Alligator mississippiensis: one gene and its partner. The protein of the gene in region 2 interacts with the protein of the main gene of each other region in a pairwise test. Links are inferred from orthologs where the notes say so. Each region holds a gene or a part of one and is shown on either strand. Other genes may lie near its edges.

Region 1 (7,106 bases), on a different chromosome or scaffold from region 2:
TCTTCTGGGGGGAAATGAGCACCAGGAATCACCTCAGCTTTCTGGCCTTATTTCTGGGACACGGAGAGTAAAATAGCAAAGTCACCAGCCAGACTCCCTCTTCCAGAGCTTAGCACATCCACCTGAACAAACAAGCTGAACACCCTTCACAAATCACCATCAACAGGGCAGGTCTAGGTGTATAGCTCTCTGGCCTGCTCCCTGTTCCTTCTGCTAAAATGAAAGTCCCTGCTGTTCTGCTAGCTAGTGACCAAATTGACTTTGGCTTTCCACCACTAGAGGGTGGAAAGGTACTAAGCACATACCAGTGAAGTGAGGCTGATCTCATGAAACCAACTAGGAGCAGAGGGAAAGGAAGCCTCACTCATTTCTTGGCCTACCTGTGATCACCAAGAAGGGACTTTCAGATGGGCCTCTGGTCAGATGCCTGGGGTTTGCTCCTGAGATGCACCTCTTAGGAACCAATGGGAACGGGGAACCAAGGTGGCTTTATCTTTGTACTGTCCGGATTCTGGGCTGGCTAGAGATCACAACAGTCTGAGCATATATTAACAGTGACCCTAGGAGGTTTAGAGCAGCAACCTACAGGTGTCCCATAGCCCAGTCTCCAGGGTGGCATGTAATATGGAGACTCCTTACCCCAGGGCTTGCAAGTGCAGGGGGGCAGCACGGGGACTAGAATTTGCTTTCCCTATGATCATGCTTGTGTGTGCGCGCGTGTGTGTTCATTTGCATTCCCTGTATACTCTAGCACATGAATTTCTTGGCAGGAAGGATGATGCAAACAGTGAATTTTCAATGACTGTGGCAGGTTATTTGCAAATTCTACGAGAACTACTCATCCAGTTTGGGAATAGAAACAATATCACATGAGTTATGTTATGTGTCCCATCCAAATCAACCAGTGCAGCTTGAAATATTGAATTCTTATAATAAACTGATAATATAGGCAAATAATTGCTTACAAGACTTGGCTACTGAACAATTTTAAACAATAAAAAAAAGTTGGAAGTATACTGTCTGTGAGTATCCTAGTTTCTAACAGAAGACTGGGCAAAAAAATAATTGGCTTCTCTTGGCAAGCAGTGACAAGCATGGGTTCTCAGACTGGGATCACAGACAGGGTAAAAAGAGTTAAAACCACCTTACTCTATAGTATACAGGCAACCCTCGCCATTTGTAGGGGATATGTTCTCTCATCCCCCGCTAATGGCGAAATCTGCGAATAAGGCACTGTGTTCATGAACGCAGTGTTCCCGGTGGCGATGGGGGGGCACAGCAGTGGCGGCAGGAGCCCAGCGGCAGCAAGCGCAGAGTACCTGAGGAGCTCCAGTAAGTGTATAAAGTGTATTTAAATGTGGGTTCAGCACTTGTGAATATTAGAAACCGTGAATGCCGAACCCACGAATAGCAAGGGTTTCCTGTATAGCTAAATGGGAAAGATGCTTCTCAAAGGTAGAGCAGTTGGGGGTCCCAGGCTAGAAAAGGGAGTCCCACTATTGACTGGCTGCTGATATGCTGAGATGACTACCTGTCATTGTCACTTTGTACTCTCCAACTGCAGGCTTATAGTCATTTTTTGTCTTGGACTTAGATTGTAAGCTCTTTGGGGAAAAGTTTTATATTCTGTGTGTTTTACGGTGCCTGACAGTGGGAACATGGTCCATGAAAGATTCTTATGTGGTATGGTAATAACAACAACAGTAATAATAATGATGATGATGATGATGATGATAATAATAAATGAATTGTTTGTTCTGCCCAGCAATCAAAACTGTAGGGGCACTGGTGTGGGAAATCTGAAACTGAGACTGTTAACAAATAAACAAAGCATGTATGAAAATTCTCTCTTGGGCCTCAATTTGATGGACCCTTGACAACACTTTTCTTTTGAGCCTTACTTTCTGTGTTTGGGGTTCACTATACATATATGACACTGACATTTCATACAGAAAAATTATGCTTCTATGATGAGCAGAAGCAAATGAATCTTAGAAGGAAAATCTAACTGGTCTGGATTTCTTGTTGACTTGCAGTTTAGCCCAAATGCCTTCTAGGGGCTGGTGTAATCAGTATGTTGTAATATTTTAAAGGTATCAAGTATTTTCCTTCACCAAAAAAATTTCATTGATTGGCTAGTATGGTGGGCTCAGTTTTGATAGCATGTCTGATGACTGCATCTGAGATGTGCTCAGACTGGCCAGACAAGACATTGATTTTCTTTCTTAAATTTAGTCTATATTAGAAAGTTGCATCTCTAGCAACATTGGTACAATTAAAATGATACAATCCCTTCAAGTATGGACACTGGTGAACTGGTATAAAAGTGATGGAACATACCTTCCTATGTATATGTATAACAAGATAATGTTTGGTTCCAGGGACCCAGTGTAGTTCAGCTATCAGATCCACCTGCAAAGGAGCTATATGTTCATGTGTGGGGTGAGGGGATTCACGTAATGACTTTAAAGGACTATAGTACTGTTAGCATGATGGTCCAGGAATTATGCAAGAGAAAAGGATTTTTGGGGGATAATATCTTTTATTGGATTAACCACATAGCCGGGATAAAATTAAACAAACTTAAGAAAGCAAAGCATTCAAAAGCTTCTCTAGCTTTATCTCAACTATACGGTTAGTCTAATAAAAGAGATCACCCCCCAAAATCCTTGCCTTTCATTTAAAAGGCTACATAATGGGAGCTGGGCTCTTGCAGTTAAAGCAATGCCAGACCTCTAGAAACTGCAGCTATAGTGAGCAGGGGAATGGTTTGTCATCTTTAAATTTTACATTGGAAAATAAGATTGCTTGGAAAGAATTCCTGGGCATGGTAGTGAGTCTGTTCAGGGCTGGGAAAACGGAGAGGCTGTACAGATGTGGAGAATATGGCTATGTAGTTGGCCTCTGGAATGGAGGGGAAATGGAGACAACAGATAGCCTGGAGCCAGGCTGGGTAGCCTCTGCGGCTAGGGGAGGAAGGAGCAGGAGGAGGCTATAGAAGAATGGGGTGGGGGGTATTAAGCACCTTTTATAAGAACAAACCTCTGTCAATACTAGGGCCTGTACTGTTATAGCTATTTCAGGAAAAGCTAACCCCTATATGAAATAGCTACATTAACACAAAGCTTTGTATAAAGCAGATCTAAGGTTCTTCTGTCATGCTTGCTGCCAGATCTAGCTGTACGTTGCCATTGAATGGATAGGTCTAGTGTCTGAAATAGGCAGAACTTGGATTCTGGTTATGCGCTGATGTTTGAAAAGTGACTGCCCATTCACAGGTTTCCAAATCCTGCTTGTTGTAACCCAGCCATGGCATCAGTGGAGATGCTAGAACCGTTCTAATCATTGGCTTCTGCATGTGCTTATGTTGCTTCCCTATTTAAGGCATTATCTAGGGTCTACGCCAAGTGAACAGAGCTGCATCTTTGGTTTGCATCAGGAATACAGCACCTGCACCTTTTTAATAGGTAAGAAGTGTGAAGGGTGTCGCTGACAGGGCATGTGATCTGCCCTGATGAATGTCTTGATTGACTAGATCCTGGCAGCCAACCTGTGGCATGTGCCACAAGTGTCATGGGCAGCCTACGTGTGTGACACGCGGTAGAGCAGGGAGCAGAGCAGCAGCTGGCACAGGGAGTGGGAGGACAGGGGAGGGAGTGGATGTGACACTCGCGGAGGGCACCGGGCTGACCTTGTGGCACAGCTGCCAAAGACTGATGTTTGGGGCCAACCTTGCTGGCAGGCGACCTGGGCCCCACACGCTGTGCGAGTGCTCGGCCCCCGCCCGACCCCCTGCTTTGCTTTCTGCTCCCTGCCCCCGCCGCGCACCACGGCCCAGGCCGCCTCGTGGGTCTGGGCCCAGGGAGCCGGCGCTTCCCCGCCGCTCGGGGGAGCCCCGTCGGGCTGCTGCGACCCCGGCCCCAGCTGCCCCCTGTCCTCGGGGCACGGCTGCGGGCGGGCCTACCCCCGGCTCGGCACGCGGGACGGGTGGCGGGAGCGCGGCGGCGGCGGGGGGCGGCTCCGGGCCTGGGGCCGCCCACGGGCGGGGCCCGGCGCTGACTCAGGAGTTTCGGGCGCCGCCCGCCCCGCCCCGCCCGCCCGGCAGCGAGCGGCTCAGACCCCGCCGGCAGCCGGAGGCTCGGGCTGCGCCGCGCCGCTGACCGCCCCCGCTGCCGCACGCCCGGGCCGGGGCCCAGCCCAGCCCAGCCCAGCCTTGCGGCGCCATGGGCTGCACCGTGAGCGCCGAGGACAAAGCGGCCGCCGAGCGGTCCAAGATGATCGACAAGAACCTGCGGGAGGACGGCGAGAAGGCGGCCCGCGAGGTCAAGCTGCTGCTGCTCGGTGAGGCCCCGGCCCCGGCCCCGGCCCGCGCCCTCCTTGCCTCCATCCGGCGCGGCCTCCCCCGGCCCTGCCTGTGCCCCGCGCCCCAGCTCCTCTGCGCCCCGCCCCGGCCCGCGCCGCGCACGCCCCCCGGCCGCATCCCAGGCGGTGCCCCGAGCCTGGCTGCTGGATAAACCCTCCCCTGAGCGCTTCCTCCATGGGCACCCCGAGCTTGACACCCACTGCTGCAGCTCAGCTGCGCTGAGGCTGCCGTGGGCATCCCAAATCCAGGCACCTAATAAGCACCCCCTGATGCCCCAGGCTTGGGGACCTGCATCCCTTCAACCTCACAGATAAACTTCTAGCCCCACCCCTCCCCTTTCTTAGATGCACCCACATGGCTTGCAGTCTCCAGTGAACTCCCATAGCTGGCCAGTGACAGCCCCCAGCTGGGTAAGATGAAGCCTTTAGCTGTACCTGTTCACTTCTCCCTAAGTACAGCTTGCAGTTCCCATAGATTGCCCCAATAACATACTTGTCCTTCACAACCTGTAGATACGCGCCACTCAGTGTGCTCCTGAGACTCTGGTTCATACACCCCCATGGTGTCCATTAGGTCCTTCTTTACCCCACTTTCAGGCCAGACAGAGCCTCCAAAACAACTCCTCCCATTGTGTTCCTCAAGTAAAGAACTTGCTCCTCCTAGGTACCTCCTCTCTCTTGGTTGCACTGGTGTCCCTCTGCACCCAGCTGCCTGTCCCTCTAGCAAGCCTCCATTCCACCTCAGCATACCGTATCCACATCCTGAAATACCACCCTGTGTGTCCACATATCCCCCTAGCCATCCAGACACACCACACTCTCTTTTTCTCCCCACTTCCAAAAACGTTGTTCATCTGTCCATATTCATCTTCCAGTGACCCTGGTCAAATATACTCTTGTCTGTCTGTTATGCTTTTCCCCTGCTCTTCAACTGCATTCCCATCACTGTTTTCCCCAACGCCCCCTTGTATGAACAGTCCTGGAGAGAGCTTTGTGAGTGCCTGGTTCCCAGCTGTGCCACTTGTGCTGATGTGGGTGATGAGCTGTTGATGTTGAGGGCAGGGAACACCCTGTTAGGCAGAGCGGGAGGTGCCTGCTGCTGAGGGTGATGGTGACAAGGTTGTGGGGGGGGAATTGGAAGCCCTCATTCCACCTCTGACTTCTGTGATGACTGCATAGTGCAGCCAGCTGTGAGTTGGGGTCCTCCCCTGGGCAATGCAGCCCAGGGAGGCAAAACTATATTTGTTTCTTAGTCCTGCCTTTCTGAAACTCTGCTCAGTCAGACTGGGCACACAATTCTCTCTTTACCAGGAGGTATAAAGAGGGCCAGGGTAGGTAGGTTTCTCTCTTTAATCTTAGGTTAGTGGGAACTAGGGCTCCTGCAGCTGTGGTCAGCACTGTCTCTCAAGAAACCTGCTTCTCTTGCCCCTCCTTTCTCTTATCCTACCCTGCCCCCTTTCCTTCCCTCCCTCTCTCCAAACTAGAAAAGTAAACTGGCTGAAAACGAATCCTCCTGCTTTCTTAGTCCTTTCTCCCTTGTGAAGGAGGAAGCCCACAGGGAGGGGTCATCAGTTGATTTTCATTGATTGCTAAAATAACGGTCCAATGGAGGGAAATACTTTTTGCAAGGGAGAAAATGCCTCAACTTTGGCACCTTTTGGATAACTTTGAAGGGTGTATTGCTGCATGGAAAATGTATCCTGACAAGCAAAGTGAATTCAGTACTCCTTGATATTGGCTGCAGTTTGCTGCAGAGCAAATGTTGCTATGTTTACTGCTCCTAAAATATTTTTTCAGCTTGTTCTCTCCCTTTTTTTAGTTGGCAGCAAACTTTCAATCCAGCCTGAAGACTTTTCAGATTTAGGATGGTCTGATGTTAATAAGGATAATACTTAGCACTTGCATAAGGCTTGCTGTCTTCAAAGCACTTTACAGATACTAATCCCAGCTATCTCACAGCTCTCTGTTCTTTGCCTTTGGGGAAGTAAGCACATTTTAAAAAGAATTCCTAATTGGGTTTCATTTTGCTTCTGAAATGCCCAAGGAGAGCAATTCCTGATTCAGTTTTTTAAACCTGACCTAGGATTAGATAATGTTCACATAGTGAAAGAAAAACTTACTTGAAGTGGAAAGCTGAAATATTATGGGGTGAAGGGCAAAGAGGATATAAAAAGTAGTGTGACAAGAGAAAATCATTGCTGGTTTAAGCAATGCAAATAGAAAATGTTTGATGTTGATTTTTAAATAGAGGAAATGGAGTGGCAGGAAACAATGGTGAAATTGAGCAGCCATGTATTTGCATCTGAATAAATAATATCGCCTATTTTAAAATGTGCCTTATGGACAAAGCCATAATTTCTTGATTTTTTTTTTTTTTTTTTTTTTGGTACATTGTTGGCACACAACGAATATTAACATTCTTTTAAGGGAAAATCCCTGGGTATATTTGTTAGTAGGCCAGACAAATTGATTTTTTTTTTAAAGGTATTTCACTATGCAAAAATAGATCCAACTCTCCATGGTTTTGGGATGTGCTGGTATGGTCAGGGCTGACAAGGCGGCTAAGGCGGCTAGGTCATGATCTCATATCGAGGTCAGTGGCTGTGGGGTAGAAAGATGGCTCCCTGACTTAAAGGGCTTTTCAGTCATTGGGATCTGTTTGCAGAATGGGGTGGGGGCTTAGTTGGGGAAAGGTCTAAAAGCCCAGTTTATGGAAGCATGTATATGGGTAACCTCACTTGTGC
Region 2 (7,084 bases):
AACTACACAGTTTACTGATATGCCGGGGGGCTAGTACTACATTATTCCCTTTATAAAGCAAAAAACAAATATAATGATTGGTATGTGCATTCATTTGCTAGTTTGAAGGTTTTTTGGTTTTTTTTAAATGCCACAAATTAGGCAAAAAATAGTCAAACTACCAGTTTCAAGAGATATTTCCTCATTAGTCCTGTAGTCATTATGGTTAGATGTACATCTCTTCTTCAGGTTCATAAAGCAAAATCTAGCCGTTTTGAGCATGTGGATAGTGCCTCCATAATTAACCGTCAGTCATTTCTACACCTGAGTGAATATGACCACCCCTGAGTTAAGGTTTTTAGCCAGAGCTAAAAACAATCCGCAGGGCTGTGAAATAAGAGAGACGTTACCAGGAATGGCCAACAGACAGCCAAATTGCAGAAGAAAGGCTAGTTGGCAAAATGAAACACCAAGACCATTAAAAAGGAGACGGGGTCATTCCCACCCGTGGAGTGGAGAGAGATTAGGAGGAATCAAGGAGGTGATAATGAGCCATGAAGTCAAGAAAGCCACATGATGCTAAATCCAAGTCATCCATGATGCCACACAATGACTCTCTCAGCGCTGTTCGATCAGGCTCTATCCGTGGCCCCAGACACCTCTGGGATCCCCACACAATAGCCCTGGTCATCAGTCAACTTTCCCCAGGCATTCCTGGAAAGCCACGGCCTTTCCCTAGCCAGGGGCTTGGATGGCATCAGGCCCTGCCCGCAAGAGGGTCGAAGCCAAACAACACCAGGAGCAACCTATGTCAAGAGCATAGCAAGGCTGATTTGGACTCTGGTTTAAGCATATTAGTGTTTACACCTTGGCAGCTGCTGGCTCCACTCAGGGACCCGGGAATTCAGTTCAATCCCGGTTGGTGCAGGTGATAACGCCGTTGTCAATTCCTGTTGTTGCGGCGGTCTCCAAAACGTGGCACGTGGGCAGAAACCATCCGGCGTTGCTAGAGGACATGGGGACATTTGCGTCCCACGATTGCATTCCACCAGGGCAACAAGGTCCTTTGGGTAAATCCGATCTCATTTATTAGATCAACTAACATTTTGGTTGGTCCGGTACAAGATATGGGATGTATTCACCCAAAGAACCTTGTCTGCCTATGTGCTTAGACCGGCACGGCTACAACCAATACCCATTTCACCAGGGAAGGCACAGCAGGGAAGCCCGCCATGCCCAGGACCATGCGTAGGGGCTAGGAACCATGGATGACCATGGGACAAGCAACCGCCCTCAAGGTTCAGCCTCTTACAAGAGGCCGAGAAAAGCAAGACTCTTCTAGTGGTGGAGTTGGGTGACACCTGCCGGATGCAGTCAATATTGCAAGCCAAGGCAATGCGACCAGGTGATGCCTTCTCCATCAGTAATTAATATGTGGTGGGGGATGGGATGGGAGGATGGATGGGTTTCAGTTACTGTGCAGTTCCTCATATCAACCCCTGTTCAGCCGGATGCACTGAGCAACTGGACAGCACAGCTATGGCCGAGTCCTGCTCTGCTCCAAATAAGCAGGGAACCTAAACCAGGACCGTGCCAATGGCATGCATTTAATAAAATGTAAATTCCCAGCAAACATTACCAATCGCGTGCGGGGATCTCCAAACTCCTTCATGCTTTTTAAGTGGAGAGAAAGATGGAGACTAAACAGGGAAGTTGGGAGATTTGGATAAAAGAGGGATGAAAGGGTTCGGGATTTGTTTTCAAGGTTTACCAAGGAGTCGTGCAAAATCAGTATTAAACTATGCTTAAGGTGGCCTGTTTCTAAACAGTCCAGTGATCACTGCAGAGATGCCACCGATCATTCCTGGAGTCGTGAAGCATGGCTCAAATGTAATAAAACCGTTTACAGGCAGCAAGATCGTCACGTCCCTCCTCGATTCTTTTCCAGAGCACCGGTGAGATTAAGTTTGGCTTTTCCCAGAAGTTACTACCAGCTGTCCAAATGGGCCAGGGCTTTTTATGGGGGGGTGGAGGGCGTGGGGAAAGGGCCTGGCAAAACATCAAAGCCAAATCAGATCAGGCCTCCTGGTTATTCAACGTGGCATTTGTAATTGCTACAAAGATGTGTCTCCTCCTGCAAACTATATAGATGTTTAAAGAAGGAGATAATAAGGACAAGCTGTCTGTGGCATGCAGGGGGCAGATTGAGCGGAGAGTTATTCATCCATAGTGCTACTTGGTGTGTCATCTGGAAGCAAATGCCCCGGCCTGCATCTTGCTCTTTCTTTTTTTGAAAGGAGATGGTTTAAAAAGAAATAAAACAACAACGGTCTGCAGTCTTTTTTAGCAATATTTGGAGCAATGCATCTGATTGGGGTTACCCGGAGCAGCAAAGCACAGCCCCCGGGGCTCTGGAGGAGATAACAGACATTTCCTGGAGATGTTGAAGGAGCCTCCAGACATTTCAGACCTTCCAGCTAAATTAAATCCTAAAGCAAATCCAGGGACTTGAGTCCTGATTGAATTGCGGTGGGGGGAAGGGACAAGACTGACATCTGCCTTGCTGAAACAGAGACGGCTTTACAGATTTGAGGGAAAGTTTATATGGCCGAGGCCTCATCTTTCACCTCTGCGAGTCAAGAGAGCCGCGCCATCCATTGTGGAACAGGGTCCTGCAGGAAGACACACTCTCGCGTGTGCCCAAAGGGGGAAGAAACACTCTCTAGCCTAGCTGGTGTGTGTGTCCAAAGTAAAACAGAGGGCGTGCGTGTGTTGGGCTCCACGGGGGCAACAGCTTGACACCTAAACCCTGGCAAATTGCTACGCCCGCAGGGTGGGTAGCCCGGATCTTCCTCCAGGACCTTAATACACCCAAACCCTGGACAATTTCTAAGCCCATGGGGTGGGTAGCCAGGCTTTTCCTCCAGGGCCTTAATACACCCAAACCCTGGAAAATTGTTAAGCCCATGGGGTGGGTAGCCTGGCTTTTCTTCCAGGACCTTCATACACCCAAACCCTGGAGAATTTCTAAGCCCATGCAGCAAGTAGACAGGCTTTTTAGGAGCCCAATACACACAAACCCTGGATGTTGTCTAAGCCCATGGAGTGGGTAGCCCAGCTCTTCCTCCAGGACTTTAACACACCCAAACCCTGGACAATTTCTAAGCCCATGGGGTGGGTAGCCAGGCTTTTCCTCCAGGGCCTTAATACACCCAAACCCTGGAAAATTGTTAAGCCCATGGGGTGGGTAGCCTGGCTTTTCTTCCAGGACCTTCATACACCCAAACCCTGGAGAATTTCTAAGCCCATGCAGCAAGTAGACAGGCTTTTTAGGAGCCCAATACACACAAACCCTGGATGTTGTCTAAGCCCATGGAGTGGGTAGCCCAGCTCTTCCTCCAGGACTTTAACACACCCAAACCCTGGACAATTTCTAAGCCCATGGGGTGGGTAGCCAGGCTTTTCCTCCAGGACCTTCATACACCCAAACCCTGGAAAATTGCTAAGCCCATGCAGCAAGTAGCCAGGCTTTTTAGGAGCCCAATACACACAAACCCTGGACGTTGTCTAAGCCCATGGAGTGGGTAGCCCAGCTCTTCCTCCAGGACTTTAACACACCCAAACCCTGGAGAATTTCTAAGCCCATGGGGTGGGTAGCCCGGCTTTTCCTCCAGGACCTTCATACACCCAAACCCTGGAGAAGTGCTAAGCCCATGCAGCAAGTAGCCAGGCATTTTAGGAGCCAATACACCCAAACCCTGGAGAATTTCTAAGCCCATGGGGTGGGTAGCCCGGCTTTTCCTCCGGAACCTTGATACACCCAAACCCTGGAGAAGTGCTGAGCGCATGCAGCAAGCAGCCAGGCTTTTTAGGAGCCCGATCCACCCAAGCCCTGGACACAGTGTAGAGCCGTGGGGCGGGGTGGGGAGCCGGGCTGTGCCGCTCGCGGTGCGGGGTGCGCGGCGCGGTGCAGGGCGCGGTGCAGGGCGCGGTGCGGTGGGAGCGCGGGGCTGTCGGAGCGCGGCGGCCGCCGCAGCGGCTCGGGGCAGGGAGGCGCAGGGGCCGGGGGACGCGTGCGCAGCGCCGCCCCTGCTCGCTCGCTCTCCCTCCCGGGGTGCCGGAGCCGGAGCCGGAGCCGGAGCGGAGCCGGCGGAGCCTGGGGCCCGGAGCCCGCCGCGGGGGTCGCAACTCGGATGCACGGATCGTGAGTGGCGAGCAGGCGGCAGCCGGCCGGGGGGGTCCCCTTGCAGCCGGGCATCCCCCGGGGAGGATGCCCCGGGCTGCGGGCGAGCCCCGTTGGCGGGGGCAGGCAGCGGAGCACCGGGGAGAGAGCGGAGCCCCCCCCAAGCCCGGGGGCACTGGGTGGCAAGGGGTGCATGGGGGGCTGCATGGCACGGGGGTGCCCGGGCGCAGCAGGCGGGGTCCGGGGCATCCTTGCCGGCGGGCGCGGGGGTGCCAGCTCCGGCAGCGCCGCGCTCAGGGGGCCCGGACTGGCCTTTTGTCTCGACCGTGGCGTGCCAGGACTCCTGGGGTCCCCGCCTGGCGTGCCCACCCCGCTGGGAGCTGGCCCGTCCCGGAGCATCCCCTGGGGATGCACCTGGGGGGGACGCCGAGGCTCCCTGAGGAAGCTCCCCAGGCTTGGCACGGCGCCACGGCCTGATTTCAGACGCCAGACAAAACGCGTCGGGCGAGTGGGAGGGATTCCCCGGCTCCTCCGGAGCCCCGTCCCCATCCCGGTGACCCTCGCCCCGTCCGACAGCCGCGGGGCCAGGCGGCTTGGCCTGGCTTCGGGGAGCGCACGGGAGGGCTCCCCCAGCTTGCGCTACCGGGGTCGCTCCCCGCCGTCACCCTCCAGGAAATAACTCCGCGCCAATGCAGAATAAAAGGCGTCGTGGGTGGGGGTCCCGTGTTGCTGGAGCCCGGGGCACGGCCTGCGGATGTCGGGAAGCAGAGGCGAGGGGGTAGGCCACGTCCCTGTCGCCCCCGAGTGCCGGGCGACACGTGCCTGTCCGTCCCCGCGTGGCATCTCACGACGCCTCCGCTCTCGCGTGGGACGGTGAGCTGCGGTACCTCGCGTCTGTCTCGGGCACGCTTATCCGGCAGGACTGGGCGGAGAACCGGAGGTTGCTGAGACCCGCGGCGTTCGGTGGCAAAACAGCCTCTTTAAAAACCACCTTCGAGAGGGAGGGTTTTGAAACAACAGCCGGTGTCTCCTAGAAGAGAGCGAGGTTTCTGGCAGGTTTCGGAGCTGACTTGGGTGCGTGCACCCACCCCAATCCCAGCCTCCCCTCTCCCGGGGGAGAGAGCAAGCTCCACGCCAACCTGCCATGGCCCTTTCGAGCCTTCTCGTGGTGCAGGTTGGCTGTCAAGAAGGTAAAATCCTCAAAGCTCAGGCCACAAGCATTTGCTGAGGGGTCACAAGCTATTCCTTTCCCTTCCTGCTTGGGGTTTTTTTTGTCCTCGCAGGCTCTTGTGACACAGAATCAATACGTACAACCACGAGCATCTCAAAAACCCCAGCAGCGTGTGGTGTTTGTTAACTTATTGGCAGAGGGGTTGATTCTGTACGAAGGCCCAAAATAAAACATAAGAGACGGTCCCCGAGTTTTCTTCTGGTCACCATTGCTACCTGTTTCTGCCGGGGTCCGGCATCACTCACCCCTTGCTGGATCCCTGCACGGTCCAGGGGGAACCCCTGCCCCACAATATTCATTAGCATTTCCCTTCACTTGCTTATTGGCTTTTGCCTATTCATTTGCAACTTTCAAGAGGCTTTGAGGCAACATTTTTAAAGCCAGTTATTGAAATGCTTTGTGTGAATAACTGCCTTTTCAGTTTAAAAAGCATACTGGGTAGTATCCGGGGGCCGGGGGGAGGGTGGCTAGGAAGGAAAAGAGCTCATCTCATGATGCAACAGACAGTGGCTCAAGACAGGGGCGAGGAGGAGGTGGTAACATTGGGTGAAAATTGCCTAAATGTTCCGGGGTGTGGGAAGCGGGTGAGGTTAAACCCAGAAGCCAGCTCTGAGCAGACTGAACTTATAGGGATCTTTGCAATCTCACTACAGCTGTCAGAGGCCTGTTCCCAGGAGACCTGAGGCCTGACATATCTTGAACCAACTCAGCCACCTCCCACCTTAGCATGAGCTGAAAAAAAGATCCAGTTTGGAGGCGCGCGTTATTGCTCAGTGCATTTTTCGGATAAAACATTAGTGCGTGGTATTGCTCAGTGCGCGTTATTGCTCAGTGCACGTTTCGGATAAAAATTAGTGCGTGGTATTGCTCAGTGCGCGTTATTGCTCAGTGCACGTTTCGGATAAAAATTAGTGCGTGGTATTGCTCAGTGCGCGTTATTGCTCAGTGCACATTTCGGATAACCATTAGTGCGTGCTATTGCTCAGTGTGCGTTATTGCTCAGTGCACTTCCGGGTTGGAGGTACACGTTAGGATAAAAAATGATGCACCCGTAATAGCTCTGAGTCTTGTCTAAGCCTTCTCCTCTGGGTTACCTGTTGGGTGATTATCGGTCTGTCACTCGGGTGGTTTTCCTAGGGGTGAAGCACTCTCCAGCAGGGTTTTGTCTGTGCCTGGCACTTCACTCCAAAGGGGTGACAGCTTGTTTTAGCATCAGGTCTTCTGCCAGTCCGTGTCAGGCCATCACGCTGGCCCTGTGAGTTTGTGCGTGTGTGTTAGCTCCATGCACGCACTAGGACCCTTGAAACCCGGGCTGGCTGCCTCGAACCCAGATTTCCTAGAGACGCCAGCCTGCCTGCCACAGTTAGCACTGCTAACTGCTCTTCTCCAAGAAGTCTTGCAAGCTGATTACTGCCACCGTGTCTGGAGAGCAGCCTGAGTTGTAGGAAGGAGATCCCAAGGCTGTAGCGGCCTGGACCAGGCCCCTGTCACTGGGCTCTTTGATTCATAGATGTTGTTAGATGTTAGGGTCCGAAGGGACCTGAATAGACCATCAAGTCCACCCCCCAGCTTTGGGACACATCCAGCTAGGTTCCTCCAGAAACACATCTTCCTCCAGTTCAAATCATCGTCCTGCAGGCTCTGCTTCGCAGGAAGCCTGCACTTTGGAGAAGGGCATTTCTGGCTGTGAA

The links.
Region 1: the proteins of RGS19 (region 2) and GNAI2 interact in a two-hybrid assay, tested with the Homo sapiens proteins (2 studies listed by BioGRID and IntAct). The link is inferred for Alligator mississippiensis from reciprocal best matches to the Homo sapiens genes RGS19 and GNAI2.

Annotation. Positions count from the first base shown.
Region 1 is NC_081835.1:43,290,979-43,298,084, reverse strand, and holds the start of GNAI2 (guanine nucleotide-binding protein G(i) subunit alpha-2), read left to right. Parts: upstream 1-4,104; 5' UTR 4,105-4,223; coding exon 4,224-4,341; intron 4,342-7,106. UniProt on the Homo sapiens protein: Guanine nucleotide-binding proteins (G proteins) are involved as modulators or transducers in various transmembrane signaling systems.
Region 2 is NC_081832.1:3,067,325-3,074,408, reverse strand, and holds the start of RGS19 (regulator of G-protein signaling 19), read left to right. Parts: upstream 1-4,063; 5' UTR 4,064-4,183; intron 4,184-7,084. UniProt on the Homo sapiens protein: Inhibits signal transduction by increasing the GTPase activity of G protein alpha subunits thereby driving them into their inactive GDP-bound form. Binds to G-alpha subfamily 1 members, with the order G(i)a3 > G(i)a1 > G(o)a >> G(z)a/G(i)a2.